Sus scrofa: one gene and its partners. The protein of the gene in region 1 interacts with the protein of each later gene in a pairwise test. Links are inferred from orthologs where the notes say so. Each region holds a gene or a part of one and is shown on either strand. Other genes may lie near its edges.

Evidence for each region.
Region 2: the proteins of TRIM41 (region 1) and FRA10AC1 interact in binary tests that used the Homo sapiens proteins (3 or more experiments, as listed by UniProt). The two-hybrid records come from large-scale screens. The link is inferred for Sus scrofa from reciprocal best matches to the Homo sapiens genes TRIM41 and FRA10AC1.
Region 3: the proteins of TRIM41 (region 1) and GPATCH2L interact in binary tests that used the Homo sapiens proteins (3 or more experiments, as listed by UniProt). The two-hybrid records come from large-scale screens. The link is inferred for Sus scrofa from reciprocal best matches to the Homo sapiens genes TRIM41 and GPATCH2L.

Annotation. Positions count from the first base shown.
Region 1 is NC_010444.4:57,292,885-57,296,570, forward strand, and holds the start of TRIM41 (E3 ubiquitin-protein ligase TRIM41), read right to left. Parts: upstream 2,888-3,686; 5' UTR 2,106-2,887; coding exon 1,296-2,105; intron 1-1,295.
Region 2 is NC_010456.5:105,167,416-105,171,166, forward strand, and holds the start of FRA10AC1 (protein FRA10AC1), read right to left. Parts: upstream 2,440-3,751; 5' UTR 2,287-2,439; exon of another isoform or gene 2,206-2,286; intron 2,082-2,205; 5' UTR 2,012-2,081; exon of another isoform or gene 1,975-2,011; coding exon of another isoform or gene 1,960-1,974; intron 1,568-1,959; exon of another isoform or gene 1,529-1,567; intron 74-1,528; coding exon 1-73. UniProt on the Homo sapiens protein: May be involved in pre-mRNA splicing.
Region 3 is NC_010449.5:99,346,067-99,349,717, reverse strand, and holds part of GPATCH2L (G patch domain-containing protein 2-like), read right to left. Parts: intron 2,042-3,651; coding exon 1,974-2,041; intron 796-1,973; coding exon 756-795; exon of another isoform or gene 698-755; coding exon of another isoform or gene 643-697; intron 1-642.

The DNA of each region.
Region 1 (3,686 bases):
ATAGGCCGGTGGCTACAGCTCTGATTAGACCCCTAGCCTGGGAACCTCCCCATATGCCATGGGAACAGCCCTAGATAAGGCAAAAAGACCAAAAAAAAAAGCTTTGTGAAGACCACACAGAAGAAGCTACCCTCTTCTCTTGGTCCCACTACTTCAAATTCATCTGGGCCTTTGCTAAATAATGTTATTTCTGCTGGCTGTGTCATGGACAAATCTCCTTTACCTGAGTCAGGATCAGAAGTCGGAGGCAAGGTATTAACTAAACTAGAATCAGACTCCAAGAAGAAAAGTCACATGTCAGTTAAGTCAAACAAACAGATATCCAAATGGTGGTGATACTGTTAACAGTACAGGCCAAAGGCAACGTGGGCAGGGCAGGGGGCTCATAACCAAGTCCATCACTTACTAGTAGCCGTGTGGCCCTCTGTGTATTACTTAAATCTCTCTGATTCTGTTTCCCAATCTGTAAAACGGGAATAGAAACCATATCAAACCACATAGAGTTGTTTGGAGTTTTCAGTGAGACAGTCCATGAAAAGTGCTTAGTACAGTGCCAGGATACATATAAAGTGTCCAGTAAATATTAACTTTTAATCCTGGAAAAATTAAAGTTCAAAGACATTGAGAGACCAAGAGCTGGTCTTCTGACTTAAAAGCCTCTCCTTTTTTTCCTGAATTCTTAGGAAAGATAAGAAGTCCTGGCCAGTACATCAGAATGATGTAGATCCAACAAAATTCCTCAAGGGGAGAACCAAGACATATTGTAGGATGGGTGGAGAATCCATTGCAACAGAAAGCAAATGCAAAAAAAAGAAAGGAAGTGTAGACCATTTGGGTTTGATACTAGCAGTCAATACTACACTCCTGCTCCTCAGGAGCTCAAGTTCCTTCCATTTCTAGGGGTCTTAGTCAAGGACAGATTTAAGACTCAGAGATAAATGAGACTGGTGGTAAAGCCCTTGGGGGTTGTCACTTGCACTCCTATACTTAGGAACAGTGGACATGTAAAACTGCAGTGGCTTTTCCTCCAGGACACAATGCCCAGTGATATGGCATCACCAGTTTTGTCCATTTTCCTTTGAGGAAACCAGTCTTCCCTGGTCTTCTCCACTGTGTCTACTTTGTGTAGGATCCTTCTCATTTAACCCATCTTGGTGCCAGTAAGTGCTTAGGTAAGGAGAATCAGCTAAGCAGTACATGAGGTTCTTTGAAGAGGGAAGACATATATTTTTTTTTCCCAGCCCCTCTTTCTTACTCTCCACCCCCATTAAACTCCCATCTTTTAGTTCTCTCACCTTGTACTCCTGTACCACCTCCTCCAATGGCACCACGCTGTGCTGTTTGTGGTTCCTGGATTCTCGGCACACCACACAGATGGCCTCTTCATCCACCTCGCAGAAGAGCTTCAGGGCTTCTTGGTGTTTGGGACAAATGCCCTGCTCGTTCCCACGGCTCCCTCGACCAGGGTTTGGGTGCATCTGCCGAATCACCTGGACCATGTTGGCCAGCTGCAGGTTGGGGCGGAAGCTCCGCCTAGGAAAGCTCTTGCGGCACTGGGGGCAGGTGAAGCACCTCCGAGGGGCTGGAGGCGGGGGCAGTGGGGTGACGGGATCTAGTTCCTCTTCTTCGTCCTCCTCCAGCACTTCCTCCTCGTCCTCCTCATCCTCCCCCCTCAGGTCCTCCTCCATGTCCCCCAAGTAATAGTCCAGGTCTTCCTCCTCGTCCTCCTCCTCCCACACGTAGTCCATGTTGTCCCAGTTCGACCCGCCCATGCCACTGGTCCAGAACACACCCTCCTCTTCCTCCTCAACCTCCTCTTCCATGTCGCCCTCATAGTCTTCATCCCGCATGGGGGTGTCCCACCCACCACCGGCCCCCACAGCCTCCACTTCCTCCTCCTCGCCGTCCTCCTCCTCTTCTTCCCGGTCTAACTCGTCCCTGTCCTCTTCATCCTCCCCTCCCCACAACTGGGTTACACACACTCGGCAGAAGTTGTGCCCGCAGCCGATGGACACGGGGTCCGTGAAGTAATCCAGGCAGATGGCGCACACCGCCTCCTCCTGAAGGGTCTGCACAGGGTTGGGTGCCATGGCAACGGCAGCCATCTTAGTGTCCAGTCAGCCAGTGTAGATGGGCGGTGGGGGGCGGAGGGGCGGGGGTCTTCCCTCTCAGATGCCCTGACGACCCGGCCCCACCCCCAGCCCTGCCTCTCCACACCTTGCTTCAAGCGCGGCCAGAGAAATGTCTTCCCGACAACCCACCCGTCCACACAGAGTTTCCTACTCCTAGACGACAACCGTGTCCCTGAGAGGGGAGGGGACAAAGCTGAGCGCTACCGCCAAGTCCCTCAGGTGGCACTGAGTGCAAATCTGCCTCAACGCTCCCTTGGCCTCCTCATAAACCCCCGCCCATCCTCACTTCCTGGCTCCGCCCCCACATTTCCGGCCTCCCTCTCAACACTTCCGGCGCTAAAAGCTACCCAAGCTCGCGAGTTCCCTCCGTAGTTGCGCTACGCCCCTTTCTTACCAACCCCTCCCACCCTATGCCCCCCCGGGGGGGGATGACAGGAAACGGTAAGGGGACGCTCTAGCAGGCACTCGGGAATAGGGCTGGAGGGCTACAAGGACCGAGGTCCACGCCTCTGTGATAAGAGGGAGAGAGGAACACAGACGAAACAGGCCTGGCCCCACCACCGGCTGCCACTGGGGATAAACTAGGGAGGAGGGTGGAAGGGCTTGGCACCCGTCCGCTATCGCAGCTATAACCGCATCGGCCCGGCGCCATCCTACCAACCAGACACGGAGAACTGCAGCAGGGAGTCCCCGCCTCCAATGCCGGAAGCGGAGGGGCGGGTATCGGTGAGCGCCATGAAGTACTTCCGGCCCTTCTAGGCGGCTGTCTCCGAGGACTCTGAGCGTCCCTCCGTGACGGACCAGGGGGCGGGGCCTGTAGAAGTGCGGTGGGGGTGGGGCCAGAGACCTTGCCCCTCCTCCCTACGGTAGTTGGCATTCCCACACTCATTTTAGAAATTTCCCTGGGTCACTTGTGCACTGCTCAGATGAATTTTCTTAATGGAATGGTAGCAAATCATGACATGCACATTCATACAGTGGAACACTTTAGATGTAAAAAGGGAATCCTCTTCAAAATGCATTCTGAAGTGAAAAAAAAACAGTGCTGAACAGTGTGTAGAGTACATCTGTTGGAAAAAAAAGGGAAGGGCTAGGATGTTAAATGTATGAGTTAGCTTTATAGTCTTGTGTTTACTCATAAAGAGCAGTGATTCCTACTTCAGAAGGTTTAGTGAAGTTAGAGTTAATGCCATGCAAAGCGTTTAGAATGTTGCCTGGCACAGTGTGAGATAAAAGGTTATTGTCGTCGTCTATCTCTAGATTACTAGAGAATTCTAATTTTTCTGGGAAGGCCGAGGGTCCAGGATAGAAGAGACACTTTCCCATATATGCCTTTTTGTATCTTTTGAATTTTGAAATGTCAATGTATTACCTTAAAGAAAAAAAAGGTTTTTTTCCAAGTGCAGTCGGTTCATTTACCGCTTTCTGAGCTGTGCACCATGTGTGCTCCAGGACCCAAATACCTCGAGGTCTGCCTTCCTGGAAACACAGGGACTCAAGTAGGGTTTGTGGTTTTGATTACTTGAGAGAATCCTATCCGGGATGTAGTACGGT
Region 2 (3,751 bases), on another chromosome or scaffold:
TTTTCCTTTTGCTAGATTCTCCACAGTGCTCATCATCACTAAAATCAGAGTCATACCCTCCATGACCATGCATCTGTAAAGAAGTATAACCAATAACTTAGAAACTAAGTTGCCCATAGTTCAAAATTAAGTTCTCTTTAAAAGCCACAATAGGAATTCCCATCATGGCACAGTGGAAACGAATCTGACTAGGAACCATGAGGTTGTGGGTTCAATCAGAGCTATAGCTATAGCTCTGATTTGACCCCTAGCCTGGGAACTTCCATATGCCTCAGATAAGGCCCTAAAAAGCACCCCCCCCCCCAAAAAAAGCCACAATAGTGGTGGATATATCACTGTTCAGGGGCTATCTAGCCATCTAAACCTTTCGCTCACTTTGAAGTAACAGACTTACTCCTTCAGAGAATGAATTATGTTTTTCACCTTAATTACCACTAGGCCAACAAGTGAAAGAAACCATTCTTTGATCTTTCCATTGAAAATCAGGTCTAGAAGCTGGCATGTCACTGAAAACAAGGCTCAGCAATGCTTTTCCTGACTCAAGAGTAAAGACAGTTGCTGTGTATTTATCATCAACTTTGTTCCAGGCATCATGGTAGATTCTTTACAAAAACTGCTTCTAATTCTACAAGTTAGGAATTATTACCTCATTTCAGAGATGAAGAAATCAAATGACAAGCAATCGACTACACAAAATATAATTTCTCTGGGCAGGCTCCTTATGTTCTGGGAGCTTGTTTCCCCCTCTATAATTACATCAGGCCAATCTACTTGAATCTTAAGCTCAATGATCTCAACTACTACAAAATGCCTCTGGAACATGTTAACATTTTGATTACCATATTCCATTAGACTTATTGGATTTGTGAGTAGGACAATCAATTGACAAAGATTTTCCTATTCTCTTTCCATATGTGTAGAGATTTCCTTTTTCTTGTAAACCTAGTTTCTTCAAGGTAAGACACCTTGCCCTTTGTTCTAGACAACTTTAACTTGTTTCAATTCACTTTTAAATCAAAATTATTAGAAATACTGAAAGATCTCAATCGTCCCTGACTTGTGTTAGAAGCAGCACCTGCTTTCAGTATTACATTGAATTTGGGACACACATTAATGGGATTATTTGACTACTTGTCATAAATCCCTAATTCATATGACTACAAGGAACCAATCCTGGTCAAATGATAGATCAAACTTTTTAAACTCTAATATTCACTAGAGTAAGTACAGCATGAATAGGAAATAAACCCCTAAATTTCACTGCACTGGACCTAAGAGAAGAGATATGTTTCTAGTCTTAGCTACCTTGAATAAATTACTTCATTCTTTGGGCTTTATGTGCTAAATTAAACTATCCTTACATCCTATTGAGTCTGTGATCTTTATAATTCCATTTTCAACATGGAAATTTTTAAAAAGTATATGAGTGTGTATGTCTCCTCCCTGTCCCACAGAATTCTAGAAAGGCCCTAGCCAAAGTCAGAGGCGAAGGTTTAGGCCACAGTAATGACACACCTGGATCTCATACCTTTTGCCATGTCAACTTGCTTCAGCTGTTTCATCATACCTGTTAAAACCATAACATCCTCTCACGCCTTGTCCCACGTCTCCCACTTTCCTCACATCTTGATGGAAGACAACCATTGTGGGGAGCTTAGAAAGATGTTCTGGGATCAGCCTGCCAGAATGCAAATCTTGGCTCTGCACTTTTCAAGTATTCTTTAGGCATGCTCCTTAAGTTCTGGGAGCCTGTTTCCCCATCTATAAAGTGAGGCTAATAGAGTTCCACTTTCAGAGGCCGGCGCATTACTTGAGTTACCACATATAAAGGGTTTTAGAACAGTATCTGGTACAGTAAAACCCTGTCAAAGGTTAACTACTATTGCTATCATCAGCTTGTTCCCTCATCCTATGACACCACCTCCTACCCTTACTACCCCTGTCTTCCTTTTCGCTCACCTTTCCCATACCCATCTGAACTCAGTGGTTGCAATAAAAAGTTCTCACTCACTTCAGGCTACGAATCCACCTACAAGGGCCGAGAGAAATTCGAGAAGAGAGACGCCGGGTGTCTCCAGAATCTGCCATAAAAATACATTAAAAAATAAAAATTTTTTAAAAGAAAAGGAAAGAGAAAGATAATCAACTAGTAGCATAAGAGACACAACTTTCGCTGCCCTTCTTTCCGACTCCAAATACACTCACCGCCCTTCTCACACACCCCTTCCCCTCCTCCCAGCTCTGCCAAGTGGGCCCACAAAATCGTGGTTTGCAACAGCGACCCACAGTCTGAGCGAGCCGCTGCTGCACCAGCCTGGTCGCCGCTGCCACGCAGCCTCGCCACAAGCCGCCACCACAGTCACAGCTTGAGCGGCCGCTGCCGCCACCACCGGCTCTCTGCCTCTCCCTACGGGTCCCGACTGGGCGCTACTTCCGGTCTGGTTCGGCCACGCGTCTCACTTAAATGACACCGTTCTCAGGCGCGCCAACCTTGTGCTACAGAGATAACAGTCCCGGGAAACAAAAGCAGCGGAAGAACAGGACCGGGGGCAGGGGGAAGGCGGAGGCAGCATCCTTCCATTTCCATCTCAGGAGCACAGCATCTAATACCGTGTGGCACTGCTCACACTAAACCCACGCCCCTAGTTTGGAATTTTGTTTTGTTTTAGAAGAAACTCTGCCTGCATATCACCTGCCATCCTCTTTCTAGTAACCTTAGTAACGCCTCCTCCCTCAGCATCTCCATCTCTGATCTGCCTCTCCTCCCCCTTCTCCCAATAAACCAGTTCTCATAATTAGAACAAAAATAGCTTTCCATCGCTTCACCACCCACACAATAGATGCTATTCCAAATGCGGTGCTGGTGGCAGAGGAGCTCATCGAATATGTGAAGAAAGGAAGAAGACAGAAGAGCGGCGATTTCGCCGAGTCGCGAATTCTCTGCCCACAAATGACTTGGCACAGGTGAACAGGGATCCAAAATAGTTACTAAAGACAAAAAAGAAAGAAGGGGAAAAAAAAAAAAAAAAGGAAATGCAGGCAGGAAAAGTTTATTTTTAAGCTCCACCAGGTTCTCCTATGTTTTACGTTTTCTATTCTGCTTTGCAGCCTAGTTACTGGGGTCCTGTCTTGTCTCCCTCCAGCTGATGCTGTTTATCTTGGCTTCCTCCTCAGTACCCAACACGGTTCCTTGCAAACCATACGCACTAATTAAATGTTTGTTGAATTGAACAGGCGTGCCACTGACTTTCACAGCGGGCTTATTTTAGAGAAAACCTTGGCATGTAATCTACACATCATTTTACATCTTTTTCACTACTAGATATTGTAGATAACAATATCTCTCAGTTCAACGCACGTTTTTATCCCTGGCAGTAAAGTACAGCTATATCCTACTTTACCCAGTGCAGTGAATGCGATCTTAAAAATCTTTACGTTAAACTTAAATACAATTATTCCAAAATACAATCGGATTATATTTCAATAAAAACGTTTATTAAAATATTTAAAGTGGAGTTCCCTTGTGGTAAGTGGTGTAAGCATCCCCCTTTGTCGCTGCAGCAGCTCAGGTTGCTGCTGTGGTGTGGGTTCCATCCCCAGTCTGGGGAACTTCCACGTGCTGTGGGCGGGGCCAAAAAAATGAAAAGCATTAGGAAGCCTCATGATTTTACATTATACTGTATTAAATTATTTTGTCAAGCAGTTCCTTTTTTAGTAAATATCTAAAATATCTATTTAGCTCTTTTGTTTA
Region 3 (3,651 bases), on another chromosome or scaffold:
CAGCTGTGGTGTAGGTCGCAGATGAGACTTGGATCCCACCCACACTGCTGTGGCCCTGGAGTAGACTGGCAGCTACAGCTCCAATTCGACCCCTAGCCTGGGAACCTCCATATGCTGCAGAAGAGGCCCTAAAAAGACAAAAAAAAAAAAAAAAAAAAAAAAAGATAAAGCAAGCCCTCACCCAACAAAAATCAAAAGCTTCAAACATTAAAGGAACATATTGAGAACCACTGTTAGCAATTTTAAAATTATGACCCCTATAAAGGCCTTGATATTAGAAATGCCAAGGCCCCCTCAGGGGTAGCTAGGGAGAAGAGTAAGAGGCTTTAAGGCCTCAACTGCCCTTCACCCGAAGCAGCTCTACCTTCTATTTCACGTTTAGGATTCAACATTGTACTTAGCACTCTATGCTGATGCTGAACTAAACCATAAGCAGATAAGGTTCCTTTTGATTTCTTACTGCAAAATTCAAAATTAGAATAAAAACTGGATTCCTATGGAATGTGTTACAAGTAATAAACTGAAAGTCGCCATTGAACCTAAAAAGGGGAATTAGCTACAGTTCTTATCCATGTATATAAGATATTCTTGGAAAACAGTCCTCCAAGAAAATCAGAATAATTTAAGGAAAGGGAACCTTACCTCATGTGCACAAGCAGAAATGTGAGGAAAATCAGAAGTCAACGCTTTATTCTTTCTAAAGAAAAGGAAATCAAATGATAAAATAAAGATGACAAACAGAAAAGCAATCTTACCTGATTTCGCTCTCTTTTCCCAGTTGATGGTAACCAGAAACTAAAGAGAGGGAGAGAATAAAGGGAAAGAAAACAATAAAAGACATGGTAGGAAAATTATAGAGAGGAAAAGATAAAAAGTGAAGACAAAGAATGAGAAAAAAATGGAGAGGAGAAAAGGTGATGTTAAATGTATATGAACTTTTTTCCTCCAGAGAATAACTCTTCAAAGGAAAAAGAATGGAATGCAGCAGACTGGACACTAAAAATAAACTCAAGATTATGGTCTATCACCAATGCACTCTCAGCTAGCTGTGCAGTGAAGACAGGCTTCCCAATTCAACAAGGGCATAAACAACATTCACGTCTTGCCTATTTTATAATTTAAAACTTCAAGAGTTCCCTCTGGCTCAGCGGTTAACAAACCTGACTAGGATCCATGAGGATGCGGGTTCAATCCCTGGCCTCCCTCCGTGGGTTAAGGATCTGGCGTTGCCACGAGCTTTCATATAGGTCGCAGACACGGCTCAGATTCCCACATTGCTGTGGCTGTGGTGTAGGCCAGCAGCTGTAGCTCCGATGAGACCCCTAGCCTGGGAACTTCCATATGCCTCTCAGGTGTGGCCCTAAAAAGCAACAACAATAACAAAAAAGCTTAAAAAAAAAATAAACTTCAACCAGGCTGGATGGGTGTAGGATCATAATTGGACACTGACCATGACATGTACAGGAGACATCAAAAGAAAGCCAATTATGTTAGGGGACAAGGCTGTCACAAGAAAGGGTGGCATGATTTTCCTATCACTACACATACGCTTTCCAATTGCACTTAGCACAGAAGTTAGAACGAAATGGTATTTCTCTGTCTAGAGGTCTAAAAATGGGAAAGGCATATAGGAGAATATAGAGGCAATCACCCATTTTGAACAAAAAATTTTTTTAAAGATAGAAAAATTAGTTTAAGAAATAACATCCTATTGGAAGCTACTTTTATAATGTATCACCTATAGACATAAAAAGCAAAGAAATAAAAACTAGCCTGGAAAGAAAAAACATCTCTCATGAGTTCAGGGTGTTAGCCATGTTGGGTGTTAGCCATGTTAAGTGTCTTAAAGTATCAATCTTTAAGAGGTTCTCTTTCAGCTCTAAAAGAAAATTTCCAGGTTCTAAAATAAAACTTCCCTCTGCTGCCTCCTCCAAGGACAAGCTCTGATAGCCGGTAAATACATAAGCACTTACTCTTTCTGCCGAGGATCACTAATGAGGTGGCTTATCCTCTCAGTACCCAAATTACTTATGCTGGTCTCCTGAAGAGGCAAGGAAGACAAGAGTGTCATCTAACCACAGAAACAAATATGTAAGTATGACCTGTTGTCAAGCTCACACTTTCCCATAATTATACCAACAACCCCAAAGGCACATGTCAAATCTCAATCCTAAAACCCAACAGCAAACTATGTATCTTTTTGTAGGACCCTGCTGTAAAACTACTGCATGTTATTCTAGATTTATTTTTTTTTAGTGTTCAAAAAAAAGTCACTATAAACATGTTTTTACTATATATAATATTTTAATATAGTGAGTAATACTTCCTGGAGTATTTAAGGTATATCAAAATAGAAACACTTGAAAAAAAATTCAACAGCAGCCAATTTTTAATTTTTAACAGGCCACCACACCAAGCTCCCTAGTCATATGGTTACAGCTTCAAGAGCCTTCATAATGGGACATCTACTGAGTACTCACTGGTAACACTGAAGTATCCACTGACTAAATGTATACATATCAAAGAACTTTTGTTACTTACAAAAATCGTCACCCTTTATTTTGTCTGTTAAACATCATCTCTTAAAGTAAAAATAGGTGTTTGTATAGACTGGTTCTTAAATCTGCAGTTCTCAAGACTGTAATAGGAAGTTATGCCCACAAGACCACAAATAGTTCAGAAACTAATCATCTCCAAAAAACTGGAAAATGGCATAAGGCACTCACCCTTCATTTAACTTGAGTACATTTACAATGCCTACCTATCACAGAACCTAGGGAAGCATACCAACAGTACATGAGCAAGCGTTACGCACGTCTGCGTGTTAAGATGAGAGCATAAGTCACGGGCATAAATGTCAAAAATGGCAAGCCTGTTACTCAAAGACATTTGTTTCTGGGCAAATGTTGTTATCTGTATTCATCTATGTGTATGGATTAGCCTAAATATTAGGATACACATTTTAGCAGAACTAGCTATAGAAAAATTAAGTTGAGGTCAGACTTTGTAAATGAAATGGTTTCACACACTGTATTCTTCATACTCTTCATCCCGAACACCTAGGCCTCTGGCTCAGACATGACCATGGGAGTCGGGCCAAGGGAAAAGATGGGTGAAAAATGAGCTATTTGTTACAGCAGAAAAATTATTAACTTAAAGTGCCGTAATGTTTAAATTTACAGTTTATTACTGTGTAAATTACAAGCAGTACTTTGCGTAATTAGCAGCTCGCTGGCAGGGAGCTGTGAATGAAACTCATTATTTATGATTATAATTTAGAAAAAGAGAAGAGAGATGGGGGAGGGAGAGGAAGAGGGAGGCAGAACAGTGACCTCTGGTAGAAATGACAAATATCCCTTTAAGGTGATGAAGATGAATTAAACAAGTAAATATTATCCTATTCATTTGAAATCATTAAAGAAACATCCAATAGGCCCTACTTTCCTTCCAGGCAAGCTACAGGGAGACTTCAGGATGAAATGATTTACTTCCATGGAAGTAGAAGGCTCTTATTTTATAGGAGCTGAGACAAAGTTAGGTAGGTGGTAGAAAGAACATCATCTGTCAAGCCGAACCAATAAAGAGAAAAAATCAAACTGTCACTCTGTTTCCCACTCCCAGCCTCCTGCCTCCCTCCACCACACATACTCC